2 linked regions of the Oryzias latipes genome follow. The protein of the gene in region 2 interacts with the protein of the main gene of each other region in a pairwise test. Links are inferred from orthologs where the notes say so. Each region holds a gene or a part of one and is shown on either strand. Other genes may lie near its edges. The genes, in order: mob3c and zbtb10.

Region 1 (6,521 bases), on a different chromosome or scaffold from region 2:
AAAAACTCCTTAAAAACTAATTTAGTATCCCCTCAAGTGTTAAAAAAAAACCCACAAGAATGTATATATATATATTTATAAAATTGGAAATAAATTCAGACATGAAGGGGTTATCATAGCCAGAATATATTAGGTGTACTTGATATGAAGTTGTTAATATTCCTCAAGCATGACCTCTTTGCAGACACATGAAGCATTTCCTCACAGAGAAGACGCTATGAAAGATCTCTGGTTTGTTTGCTACAACATCCTTCTTTATTTGACTCTGTCAGCGGACTCACCAGCGGTTCAAGCTCAGAGTTGTCAATGAGGTTGAACTCTGAGATGAAGAAGTAGTAGTGTTTGTAACAGGTGTTGATGTGGGCCTCCGCACCCATACTGCAGATGCTGTCAAAGTGGTGGATGTAAACGTGCACAAAGACCCTAAAAAGACGGCTCAGGATCTTCTTGCACACCTGCTGGAAGTTCTTGGGGAAAGGTACACCTGAGGTGAGGAAGAAAACACAATCAGCAAGAGATAGAAACTATTTTCTTGTGTAGAATATGTAGTTTAGCAGTGATGTTCAAACATTACAATTTTTTAAAAGTCAAAGTCCTATTAGCTGTCACACACCGGAGTGTGGGAAGTTAGTTTTCTATATTTGACCCCTCCCTGGTGAGAAACAGCGGCACTTGGAAACCATTTGGCATCTTAGCCCCCCAATTTGACTCCATAATGCTGAGTGTCAAGCAGGAAGGCTTTGGTATGAATCAAGTGTGGATTTGAACTCATCACCTTCCACTCTCAGGGCAGACACTCATCCAAGAGGCCGCTGAGTAGAAACGTGAGTCAAAACTTCAAGTGTAAAATACTTTTACATCTCTTACACATAAATGCAAATGTGAAAAGAACTGCTGTATCAGTAAAATGACAAATGTTGCTCACAGAGACAACTCATTTCCGATTTGCTAATTAGTATTTTAGGATCAATTAAGCCTAATTTTACAAAAGTAATTGACCAAAAATGTGTTTTATGCATTCTTAACAACTGTTTGGTGTCTTGTTCTTTCTGAAGGCGATGAAGAATATGGAAAACCCATTTAATGTTGGAGCCAAACATAACCTTTTATTGTATTTTTTCTGTATTTTTAAAGGAAACCAGAGCTCCCTCCACAAACTTTATGCACTGTGTTCACACACCAATTTTTAGGGCTGAGTTTTTCTGTAATAACTCTTTGTTGTCAAACCTGGCATTAGGATAACATAAAGCCAACATTAATTAATCTGCTGTAAATGTCATGTTTGTTGTGTAATTAACCCTTGTTGACCTCAGCATCCGCATCTGAAAGTTTAATGGAGCAGAACTGCCCTGAACTCTGACACCACAAACACATCACTGAGAGCAGCAGGCACACGTTCCTCAAATTACACCCTCCAGACCAGAGCAGACACCTCCAGGCATTGGTTTCTAACACACACCTACTCTGGTGGGAAAGATGTCTTCATCGTTGATGAGCGACTCGATCCAGTCCATCAGCAGGTTCATGTACTTCAGGGCGGGCAACTTGGTGGGTTTTTTGTAGTCGTCGCCGTCCCGCCATCTGTACTCGTACTTCAGCCCCCCAGACATGATGGGACATGTGCGCTCCGTGCAGTACTCGCTCATGGTGCCGTAGATCAGGTTTATCCTGTTGAAGAAATCCACAACGTGAACTGCGATCCAGTCGTTGAGGCTCTCCCCCTCTGGCAGCTGAACCACTTTCCGCAGGTCCAAGCCTGACTTGAGCGAAGCCTGGGCCTTCTTGTAGAGTTCAAAACGCTGAGTGCCGGGTTCGAACCGTTTCTTCGGCCTAAAGGTTTTGTCTTTGCTGAACACTTGTCCGAGACAGAGCGCCATTGACTTTCCTCTCCAGAATAACACTTGGGTCTGACTGAAATTCCAATCTTCCTGAGAGGGGACAGGACGGCTGAAACGGGTCAGGAGGGGTCCGTGTCTTTCATGAAGAGATTGCAGGGACTTGATGTTTGGGAGGATATTTCTGTGAAACACAGCAGAGACATTAGAGGTGGTCCAAAAATGTCGGAGTTCATTCTGTCACGGTTGCAAAAGACACGCTGCAAACCGACTGTTTACAAGAGCACTGAATCACAGGTTTCCTGAACCCTACGTTAGTGCCTGAAGCTGTGCAGTACTGAAGTCTGAAGGAGGAAAACAAAACGGCCGATCAAAACTCTGCTGATTTAAAGGATGGATGGGATCCAATCACAGGAGTTTCGGAGCCAGCCATCTAAACAAATAATAAAAAGGACAGAGATGCGGCTCATTAGAGCCCAGCTTAACCGGGACTTGTGAACGCCAGACTGAGACTCAACAAAGATTTATCAGTTTAAAGAGCACACAGAGAAATTTCCCCAGAGAAATGATCTCATCACTCACAGGCAGAAAACCTCTTCAATTGGAAAAACTCACAGCCGATTCCTCATTTTGAAGTTTTTCCAACAGCTTTGAATTACATGTTAGGTGAAGTCGTATTTTAAAAGGTTCTAACTGTTGAAACAATGAAACGTTACAAGCTGTTTGTGTGGAGAACGTGTTGGTGTTTGATTCCCGGTGTCCTGCAGGAATCCACACCGAGGACACAGATGTGACAGCCAGTCACTCTGGCTGCAACCTGATACTATATCCGCATTTGTGTCCCGTTTTAAGTCGCACCATTTCCTGCGGTTGCTTTCTCTAAGCAACTTGAAGAAGCAGAAGGTTCTGCCTCTTCGTGACCGACTCGGACTGACGTTTTGAAGAGAACCGTTGTACAAAAAAAAATCCCTCTCCACATGCATGAACCGCATCGCTTCTCTCTTGCCTCGGTTCTGTCTGTCAAGATAACAGTAAAAACGTCAGAAAGCAGAGAAGCTGCTTCGTCCCTCACCCGCTTTCTTGGTGCGTCTGGTTTCACTTCATGGCTGACCACTGGGGGACGTAAATAACATCAGAGAAGCATGGGAGTGGGGCTGAACGGAATCTAAAGTTTTGGTTTACAATTCAAGATGACCTTTGACATCATTGGTCTCTTGAACTACAATGGCTTCAAATGTCATAGCATGAGGAACAAAATGACATCAGTTTGGCTCACTTTCTTCACGCCTCACCAGCCTGAAGCGTGTCCTCTCGCGTCTGCATGCACACTTCTCTGGTCTTCACCGACCGAGGAATCGACACGACCTTTTCATTTACGCCGAGAAAGAAAACGTTTTTTTGGAAACCAAAAGAGGAAGGGTAAGTAAGCTTACAGAATGGAAAATCTGTCTCCACTGTACCTGACTGAATTCCCACAGTCGAGTACGGAATGTGGTGGGAATCTGTGGAAAGTTCAGGGAGGATTCAACTCCTTGTGGAGGTCAGTTCCAGCTTTCCTCTATTCTGATCCTAACAGTCTGAGAGGCTCCAACACGGCGAAAAAGAGAAAAAAAAAACTTGTTTTGGCTTCTCTTCCTGTGTTGATGTCACATCCTGACTTTGTCTTCTCCATTGTGGTATCTACTTGTGTGTGTGTGTGTGTGTCAGTGGGAGTGTCCAAGAACCTACGAGTAAAAAAGGGAAAAGAGGGACTGGAAAAACGGCTCACCAAGCCCAGATTGTGTGCCTCCCACTACATTTTTTTCCCCCTGTCATCCCGCTGCAGGGCAGCCGGCCCACTCATCTGATTAGAACCCAGCCCTCTGCTGAAAACAGACCCTCATTCTGATCCAGGACAGAGCCAGTCAGGGGGTCCGCATTTAAGTCTGGATATCAGAACGGCGTTAGAACCCATTGACATTTGAAAGGTCTGAGACCTGCTGCACACCGAAAGGTATTTTACACCTCCACACATGGAAAAAGAACATTTCCATCGACCAGCATTCCACTCATAAACAGACGAGGCGTGTTTGCTGGCAACTATCTACTTCCTCCATCCATTCAGGGGCTTAAAGTTTTAGGCTCATTTGTGTCTTTGTCTCAAAATGAAAGAGTCCCACTGAAGTGTGCAGAGTTTGTTTTCTGCTCTGTGACAAAATGACACAAAAAAGATCCCGCTCGTAGTTTTATTGAGACAAAATACTCAACTTTTTGGGAGATCCCCCCCCCAAAAATATAACCAAATCAGTTAGAATTTAGTTTCAAAATGTAACCATTAAAACATGAGCAAGGATGTTTGTGGTGCAAAGCTTTGGTAGTAACAAATGGGCTTCCTTTACATGGTAAAAAATGGTCAATGCTGTATATTGATATAGCTCACACTGTTGGCTGCGCCGTTGCAGAACACTGGCGACAACATGAAACCACCTAGAAAAACGTGGGGTTCCGTGTCTTGCCCAAGGACACTTCAACACATGGCTGCACAGGGACGGACACAGATCAGAGGGTGACCACTCTACCCCTGCACCACAGCACCCAATCCTTCTTCAAATACACATTTATGTGCCCTTTTATATACATTGAAATGTTTCCAAAGCAGCAACTGGATTGCAGTAGCTCAATAGATCCACTAGAGGTCATCGATATAGCATTATGATTTTTTATAACGTTTCAACTTCAGGAAGTTATGGGGTTGAACTCTATCCTGTTGCATGAGCATTTCAGTTCTTTCATTGAAAATACATTCAGTTTATAATCAAAAATGAATGATTCGGACTTTTTAAAACAACCTCAAACTGTGAAAAATCCTGTCTTCAACTGCAAAGTAACATGTCTCTACACAGATAACAGATGAGTTTGTGTAATATGAGGGGCATAAAACAGCTTTGACTTTACCAAGTCACCATTGAAATGTTGTTTTTTCTTTCAGTTTAGATGAGAAGAACGTGAAACACGATCTAACCCGGAGGATTCCCTGTTGACGATGCCTGAAGATTGGAGCCAAAAGAAGATTTCATTTCAAAATAACAGAACTGATATGAGACAGACCAGAGACCTGTCCAAGGATGTACCCTGCCTTCGCCGACGAGGATAGGCTCCGGCAGCCATGTGACCCCGAAAAGGACAAAACGGGTTCAGAAGATGAAGACTGAAATGAATGAATGATATGAGTAAATAAAATCAAACATCCAAGTTGTGCACTGAGCTTAAAATAAACGTAAACTAAAACGACCGTCACACTACCAATTTTTAATTGTGTTATATATTTTTTAACTGTAATCACTAATAACTAATTCCTGAGTGATGTTTCACAGCAGAACTAAGGAACTTAACCTTTTTCACTCTCAGTATTGAGTCATGAGGAGAAAAAAACAAACAGAAAAATGTAGTCTATACTCCAAGGCATGGATGCAGCAATGCAGCGATGTCTCATGCATAACTTGCGTTTCCTGAGTGACTCAAACATTCCCATTTCATCGTAAAAAAATGTGACAGGAGGAAGTAGACGAGCGAGGGCGTTTGTCGTTCTATACGATGTGACTGTCACTCCACAGTTTACGGCAAGCCCAAACCATGCGGTCTGACAAAACCAACTGGCAGCACAAAAACTCCACATGAACAATTCACTCAACTTTTATAGCTTCAAAGGTTGGGAGAGTTAAACTGCAAACGAGCTGCAAAAATTGTTTGTTTTCTTTTATCTGTAAAATTCAAGGCTTCATCCACATCCAGCACATTTCTGGTGTGGTTTCTGTCCCTCTTAGTTAAAGTCAGTGAGGAGTTTGAGAGGAAACGTCCCTGTCAGTGTTTTAATGACATGACCTGGTGGATGATTCATAATCACACAAACAGAGCGAGCGTCTTATCACGGTGGACGTTTGATGGAAACACAACGACCTTCGCATTTTTTTTTACTCTAAACCCATCTTTAGGACATCAGTCAACTCCAAGGATAAATCTTTGTTTTTCTCTGATCCATGTGCATCACGGTTTTACGTGGGCCATCTCCCGATGTTGCTTGACTGACAGAGCAGACGCTTATCTTATCAGATATTGCATTGTACTAAATGAGATCTCCACTTCATAAACGCGTGTCGTTGACCTGTTGTGCACGAGGTGGAAAACATTCTCATGGCAGCAATAAAAAGTCTGGTCACTCAGGTGTGTTTTTCATTTACCACCATTTTTAACGTCTTTCCCCCACCGTTTTATGCTCATTTCTGCATGGCGTCGTGTCTTTATCCGACCGTTTCACTTAATTCTGTAATTTTTCTTGACAATTATCATTTATGGCAGTAGTTCTGTGCAGTAGATCTGCCTCCCTATAGTCAGCCAAATGCCCCACTTTCCAGCACCAGGAAGCATGATTTATTTGGCATTTGGAATCTGAAGAACTCAACAAAACTATAATAAGCTTGGGTAGAATTTAAAACATAAACATTGAAAATAGATGATCAAAATTTATCAGCACATATACACAAAGATTAAGATAAGCAAGCAAGATAACTTTTGATTTAGCAGAAAAACGAGGTATCATTCCATCTTACATATTTTGTGCAAATGATCTCAATTATCTGTAAAAGTATAGATAGTTCTTTAAATTCAGATTTGAAAAAGAAAGACAAGTTTTCTGAATGAAAACATCAC
Region 2 (5,936 bases):
TAAAGTGAATAATTTTGTAGCATAAAGACATTTTTAAAATCTCAACAGTTACAGACACAAGCAAGGATTTTCTACACTAAGCAAGAATTCACCTGGCTTTTCTCATACATTATATTGGAACAATAATTAAAAATGACAATTTGGTTGGACAAATAGAATAGAAATTAACAGTCTTGATTGCATTTTGGAGTAAATATATTTTTATATATATATATATATATATATATATATATAATATTAAATAGCAAAAACAAAAACATTAATAAAAAAAAAGCTGAGCATTTGGAAGTTTTTTTTCTTGATAGTTCCATTCAAACCCGCTTATGGGGGGGAAAACACAAAACATAAAAAGAACTTTTCTTTTTTCATGAACGCAAAAGTAAGTGCATGTCTATGAGGCGCCATAGAGCTTCACCGTTTGTGGAACAAAGTGTTTTCTTTTCGACCTGGCAGACCTGTTTGGAAAAAAGCAAAAACAGTTCTTTCAATGGTTTACAAATGGAAAATGGAGTTTTGTCTGTTTGTCAGACTTAAAAATGTCACACATGATTTTTGCACATTAGCGCCCCCCCACCCTACCTCACAACCAACGTTCAAGTGATTCAAAATATATTTATATATATATATACTGTTTTGCCTTTAAACCTCAGTACCAAATATAAACAAACGCATACAGATGTTGGTGTCAACATAGGTCCCCGAAAACTGCTGATAGTTCTACAAAAATGGTATGTTTTAGTAAGTGTGCATTAAATAAAAACAATGGCAAAGCATACCTGATAGTCGCCGAAGCACAACAGTGTTCTATAGATTAAGCTGATTACATATGCATAACTGAGTCAGTTTAAGCTTTATGATTATAAACATCATATATAGCCTGTAGGTCCAGTATTATGCAACAAGCATTACAGCACCAAACGTTTCATCATTTGGCAAAATTCAAGCTTTAAGTGAAAGTCAAATGCTCTTGTATTACAATAAAGTGTTACTGTGACGCTGTGATTTGTATAAAGCTAGCAATAACATTTCCCCTCTCTTTTTTCTTATTTTTTTTCTTAAATCAACCTTTTATCCCCGCAGAACCAACCCCAGCATCCCCGCTCGTCTCGTTTAGGCGTTACTCAGTAGTTTTGCGTTTCCTGCTCAATCTTGGTGTGCGGTCTGTTTGGTTTTCATATCACAGCCCTCTTAAATTACTCATAAATACGGCTGTCATACATTAGAGTCACAAAACAGATTATTTGGTTCCAAGATTTGTGCATGGAAATAAAATTCAAAAAGAAAAACAGAATATATTTAGTAGGTCTAAACAGGATCTACAGAGACAAAAAAAACCTGCTCTTCTGTGTATTTCTACAAGCACTACGCAACACATCTCAGACAGAAAGCAACAGCGTTTACTACGCCTCCGCTCGCAGACGAAAACACAAACACAAATTATAGCATTTGATAAGACCATAATAACCTCTCTTCATAAATTAAATAATTAACATTTGTTTTTCAATGATTGGCCTACCTCAACTCAAATATTACATCACCCTGCCCGACTCATGCCCTTAAAAAAAAAACAGAAAACAAACCCCAAACCTGATTCATTGCGTTTGTCACTTGATTCATTCGCTTGTGGGCTCTGGACTCAGAGTTGGACATGTTTTAAGAATAAAACCTGTACATCTTACGACGCTTTAAAACAAAAACAAAAATTCGGTCATTTACTCGCATTATTAAGTAACCTTGAGGTTTGATAGCACTTTGGAGTTGATTGTTTACCAGCCAGTTTGTGTGTGTGTGTGTGTGTGTGTGTGTGTGTACATATATATTAAACATCAACTTTTTATTTGTTTCTCAAGCTTGTAATAACTCTTCAGTCCTCCTCTGGGGCTGCAACAGCAGTGCCCTCGCCGCAGTTTGATTGGTCGTTGTCTGTGGGCTCCTCGCCCTCCATGTCCTCCCCTTCCTCGCCGTCGAAGTCTTCATCGCGGGGAAACTCCATGCCCTCCAAGCCCTCCTGAGTGGCCTGGTGCGAGTCGGCGCAGTCCGCACACACGCCGTAGCGCCGCGAGCCGTGGCGGATGCCGACGCTGGCGGCTAGCATGAAGATCTTCTTGCAGACCATGCACTTGTATTTCTTGTCTTTCTTGTGAACCTGAAAGGAGGAGGAGGAGGAGGAGGAGGATGGTGGTTGAAGTCATCATTTTCAAACATGAAATCATCACTCCTGAGAGCAGAGCAGGTATTTAAGCATCAGAAAAAAGCTCCATTCCAGACATTACGGTCCTGTTTCGTTGTTTGGGGTCGTTTAGGGAGAAAAAAAGTCACAGCGTGAATGAGAAGGACTGATGTGTCACACGCCAAGCTCAGAAAATGACGCCGTTATCTTCCACTGAACCTCAGAAAGCAGCTCTTAACCTCCTTAGCACATATGTTTGGAGAACTATAGAATCAGCCCAAATAGTATCTAAATGTTTTCACGACTCAAAATCAGAAAAAAAATCGGTTTAAACGTTTTAATATTGAATGGAATAAAGCATTTTCACCTCATTAGTGTCCCAAAAAATCTGAAGACAAAAGAGTTAAAGATCCACTCTGATGGAAATTGTGTTTATGGTGTTTCTAACATGTTCTCGTAGCATTTTTCTCATGATAGAGGACATGTATAACACAGATCTTCATCAAAATTCCCTCTCTGAGTATTTCTTTATTCAAATCGTTGTGCATCAGGACCAGACGAAAATATGGGGTTTTAAAAAAAAAAAAAACTAGAAAAGTAGATCCATGTCCATCTCCGTTCTCCTCATGTGAGCTGTTATCTGGTTTAACAACAGAAATGCTTTTACTGTAAACATACGGAGAAACAATCAAAGACCCAACAGCTCAGCAGTAAAAACAAACCCCAGGAAGTATTTACTTCATCTGCTTCTGGTTCCTATGCAGGCCGTTCAGACCAAGTAGTAAAACCTGGACTGGATTCAACTGAACTACAATATAAGAGCCTCGACTCCAATGAGCTCATTTGGAACAGAACAGCCTCTTTCCGGTCTCTCAACATGTTTTTTCTTTGTGTTTTTGATTAATTTTCTAGAATTTCGGACACCTTTAATAACATAATTAGGCATTTGTAAGAATCTCATATTGTGAGTCAAAAAAAAATGAAAGGCATCGTTCCAATTTTTGCATTTTTATATTGTGCATCATGTCCAGCACATTAAAAACTCTGCAGACAAAAATGCCCACTTGTCCGTTTATTCTGTCCGGGAAAGCTGAACCACTGCAGACTGTGGCAGATATGGGGGGGGGGGTAAAAAAAAGAGCAGAACATTTTTAAAAAGTCATATGTCGACTTACCAAGGAATGTCTCTTTACGTGCTCGCGGCGAGTGAACAGCTTCCCACAGATGTCACAGCTGAAGGAACGCACTCCTGAGTGGATGATCAGGTGTCTCTTGAGTGTGCGACGGTGCTTGGCAATGTAGTTACAGTGGGGGCACTTTAGCTTATTGAGGGTTAAATGTGACGACTCACCTGGGAAAAGACACAAAGGATCAAATTTCTCTAATAATTTCTGTTTCTAAGACTAAAAAAAAAAAAAAAAAAGATGGATCGGAAAGACACTTTAAAGACGCAGCCACTGTACTGCTGTGTCTGCTAAGCTAACAGAACCGTTTTACAGACCAGCAAAATAAGCTGAATAACGGTGATTTAAAATAAGTATATTAACATGAGATGTCCCTTTTCCATGAGACGGCTAGGCTCGCAAATAGCTGCATTGATTTTCAAACATGTTCCTGCCCGACTGCCAATCTTCTTCCACACAAAGCAAGCAGGAGGACAGAGCCCATCCCTTTGTTTAAGCCCGGGAGAACAACAAATGCGTCGTCAAGGTGGGTTGTTATGTGGGGGAAAGGGACGGCTGATAAGAAGCAGGTCACCTGCATGTTCACTTGTGTGACTATGTGAAACACAGCCCAGAAGGGGGGGAGGGGGGGGCAACAGTAAAGAATTGGCAGTTTTTTTATGATCACTGAAGAACAAGCGGGGGGGGAGAAAAAAAATGAACTAAAGTAAACGAGTTCAGATCTGGTTTTTATTTAAAAAAAAAAAAAGTGAGGATGTTTGAGAGTTTGTGGAAACAGCAGTGAATAGGACTTCAAGCCTTCCTGAACTCTGTTGCTGCCATTTTTAGCCTCAGCTCCACCCTTTCAACTAATTTCAGATTCCCTGCATCGGCTTAGAACATGAAAACACCAGACGCAGAAATACTGGTTCATGTCGTTTGGATCACTCAATAATAAAAAGGGTGAACATCCAGACACATAGTATATACATTTAAGCAGAATGCTCTGTAAATTACTTCAGCTGATCAATCCTAAAAAGATGGGCACACATAAATCTGCATCAGGATTTTTAGTCCATCTTATTTGATACAATATATTGTTTGAATGTGAAGATTTTAAAGCCTGGATTAAAACGAAGTCCGGACTTTGTTTTCTATGCAAAATAGCTGAGCTCCATTTCTGCTGTTTGTTTGTTCCCTTTGCCATTTCCTGACTAAATGACTGGGTGCACAGCTTTAACGCCGCCATGCCCTCCAACAACATTTAAAGCATGTTTAGACTGTGGGGAAGTCAAGTCATGAAGCCTTTTACAAATTTCATTCTGGTAAAGTCCTAATTGCAGCAGGTCAAAGTCTTGTGTTTTATAATAAAAAGGGTTTCGGTGTTCTTTATACTCAAAATTCCAGGATCTGTGAGCCACGCCCCCCCCCCGTATAAAGAAAATGAAAATTACATTTCTGAGTATTTCTTTGTACAAATCGTTATGAATCAGGATCAGATAAATAAAATGTTTGAAAAAGAGTGCATGTGTGACGTAGAAAACAGGTAAGGGGGCGGCACACGCTCCCTGCTCAGGGGTCTCAGCAATGGGGAGGGGAAGGGGGGACGGGGTTGCTCCACACCAACAGTCCCATACACAACTCTAGAGAAGAATTTCTAACAAACTACAGTTGCTCTGCAGAATCTATATTGTAGAAACCGACACAGGTTTTTGATTTTGCCTAGAAGGCATAATCCTAATTAAAAGACAACTGGGAATACTTTCAAAATAGATCAAAAGATCATTATGGTGGGTCGTTTAAGATAGTTTGATAAATTAAGTGTCTATACACAGACAACAACTACAAGAAAACATGACTCAACACTAAACTACACTGTACTGTAGTCATCTGTACGCTAGAGTGGCTTCTTACCATTCTCCCAGGATTCCCCTTGCTGTAAGTCTTGGAGGATGCTATACTGGATCTTATTGGCCAGCTCTGGGAAATGGGGGAGGGGGAAGGGGGGTGGGGAGAAAGAGAGATGACAGGTGGTTGAGAGCCTGGGGGAGCACACCTTACAATATCTTTTGTACACAAACGAACCACCCCCACAGGAAAACAATGGGCTCTTCCATGCGCGGTGCAGGCAAACACACACAGACAGTGACCTTAATGCAAAGCAGCGTCCTCCACAAACCATAGCAACAAGCTAACTAGCTTTACAGCAGGGAGAAGGTTAATGAGAGGGAGATGGGCCAAGCCCTCACAACAGCTCATCTTACACTCAACTTTAGTGAGCACCTGTGTGTGTTTGAATATGCTCTTCCTAAAGCACCGGGGCTTACAGCCCATTAAAGACACACCCCTGTACTGTGTTGTGAGCGTGCATGTGTGTGTGTGTGTGTGTGTGTGTGTTTGTTCTCCCTGGGTCAATATTTGGAATAGTGAGAACAGCACCAGTGCTTTAGAGTGGATTAAGTACGATAAGGACTGCCCCTAGCGGCTTTGCCAATCCCAAGGACTGGACATTTGTGCAAAGGCGTGTTTGCGTTTACTCTAGTCTAGAGAATAGGACGCGTGAAAACGCGTTATAGCCGTATTAATGCAGTCATGTCTGGAGA

What was found.
Region 1: the proteins of zbtb10 (region 2) and mob3c interact in binary tests that used the Homo sapiens proteins (3 or more experiments, as listed by UniProt). The link is inferred for Oryzias latipes from reciprocal best matches to the Homo sapiens genes ZBTB10 and MOB3C.

Annotation. Positions count from the first base shown.
Region 1 is NC_019862.2:29,242,572-29,249,092, reverse strand, and holds the start of mob3c (MOB kinase activator 3C), read right to left. Parts: upstream 3,535-6,521; 5' UTR 3,296-3,534; exon of another isoform or gene 3,269-3,295; intron 3,255-3,268; exon of another isoform or gene 3,201-3,254; 5' UTR 3,112-3,200; exon of another isoform or gene 2,694-3,111; intron 2,525-2,693; exon of another isoform or gene 2,418-2,524; intron 2,020-2,417; 5' UTR 1,878-2,019; coding exon 1,460-1,877; intron 485-1,459; coding exon 282-484; intron 1-281. UniProt on the Homo sapiens protein: May regulate the activity of kinases.
Region 2 is NC_019869.2:23,369,916-23,375,851, forward strand, and holds part of zbtb10 (zinc finger and BTB domain-containing protein 10), read right to left. Parts: intron 5,314-5,936; coding exon 5,248-5,313; intron 3,522-5,247; coding exon 3,346-3,521; intron 2,147-3,345; coding exon 1,865-2,146; 3' UTR 1-1,864. UniProt on the Homo sapiens protein: May be involved in transcriptional regulation.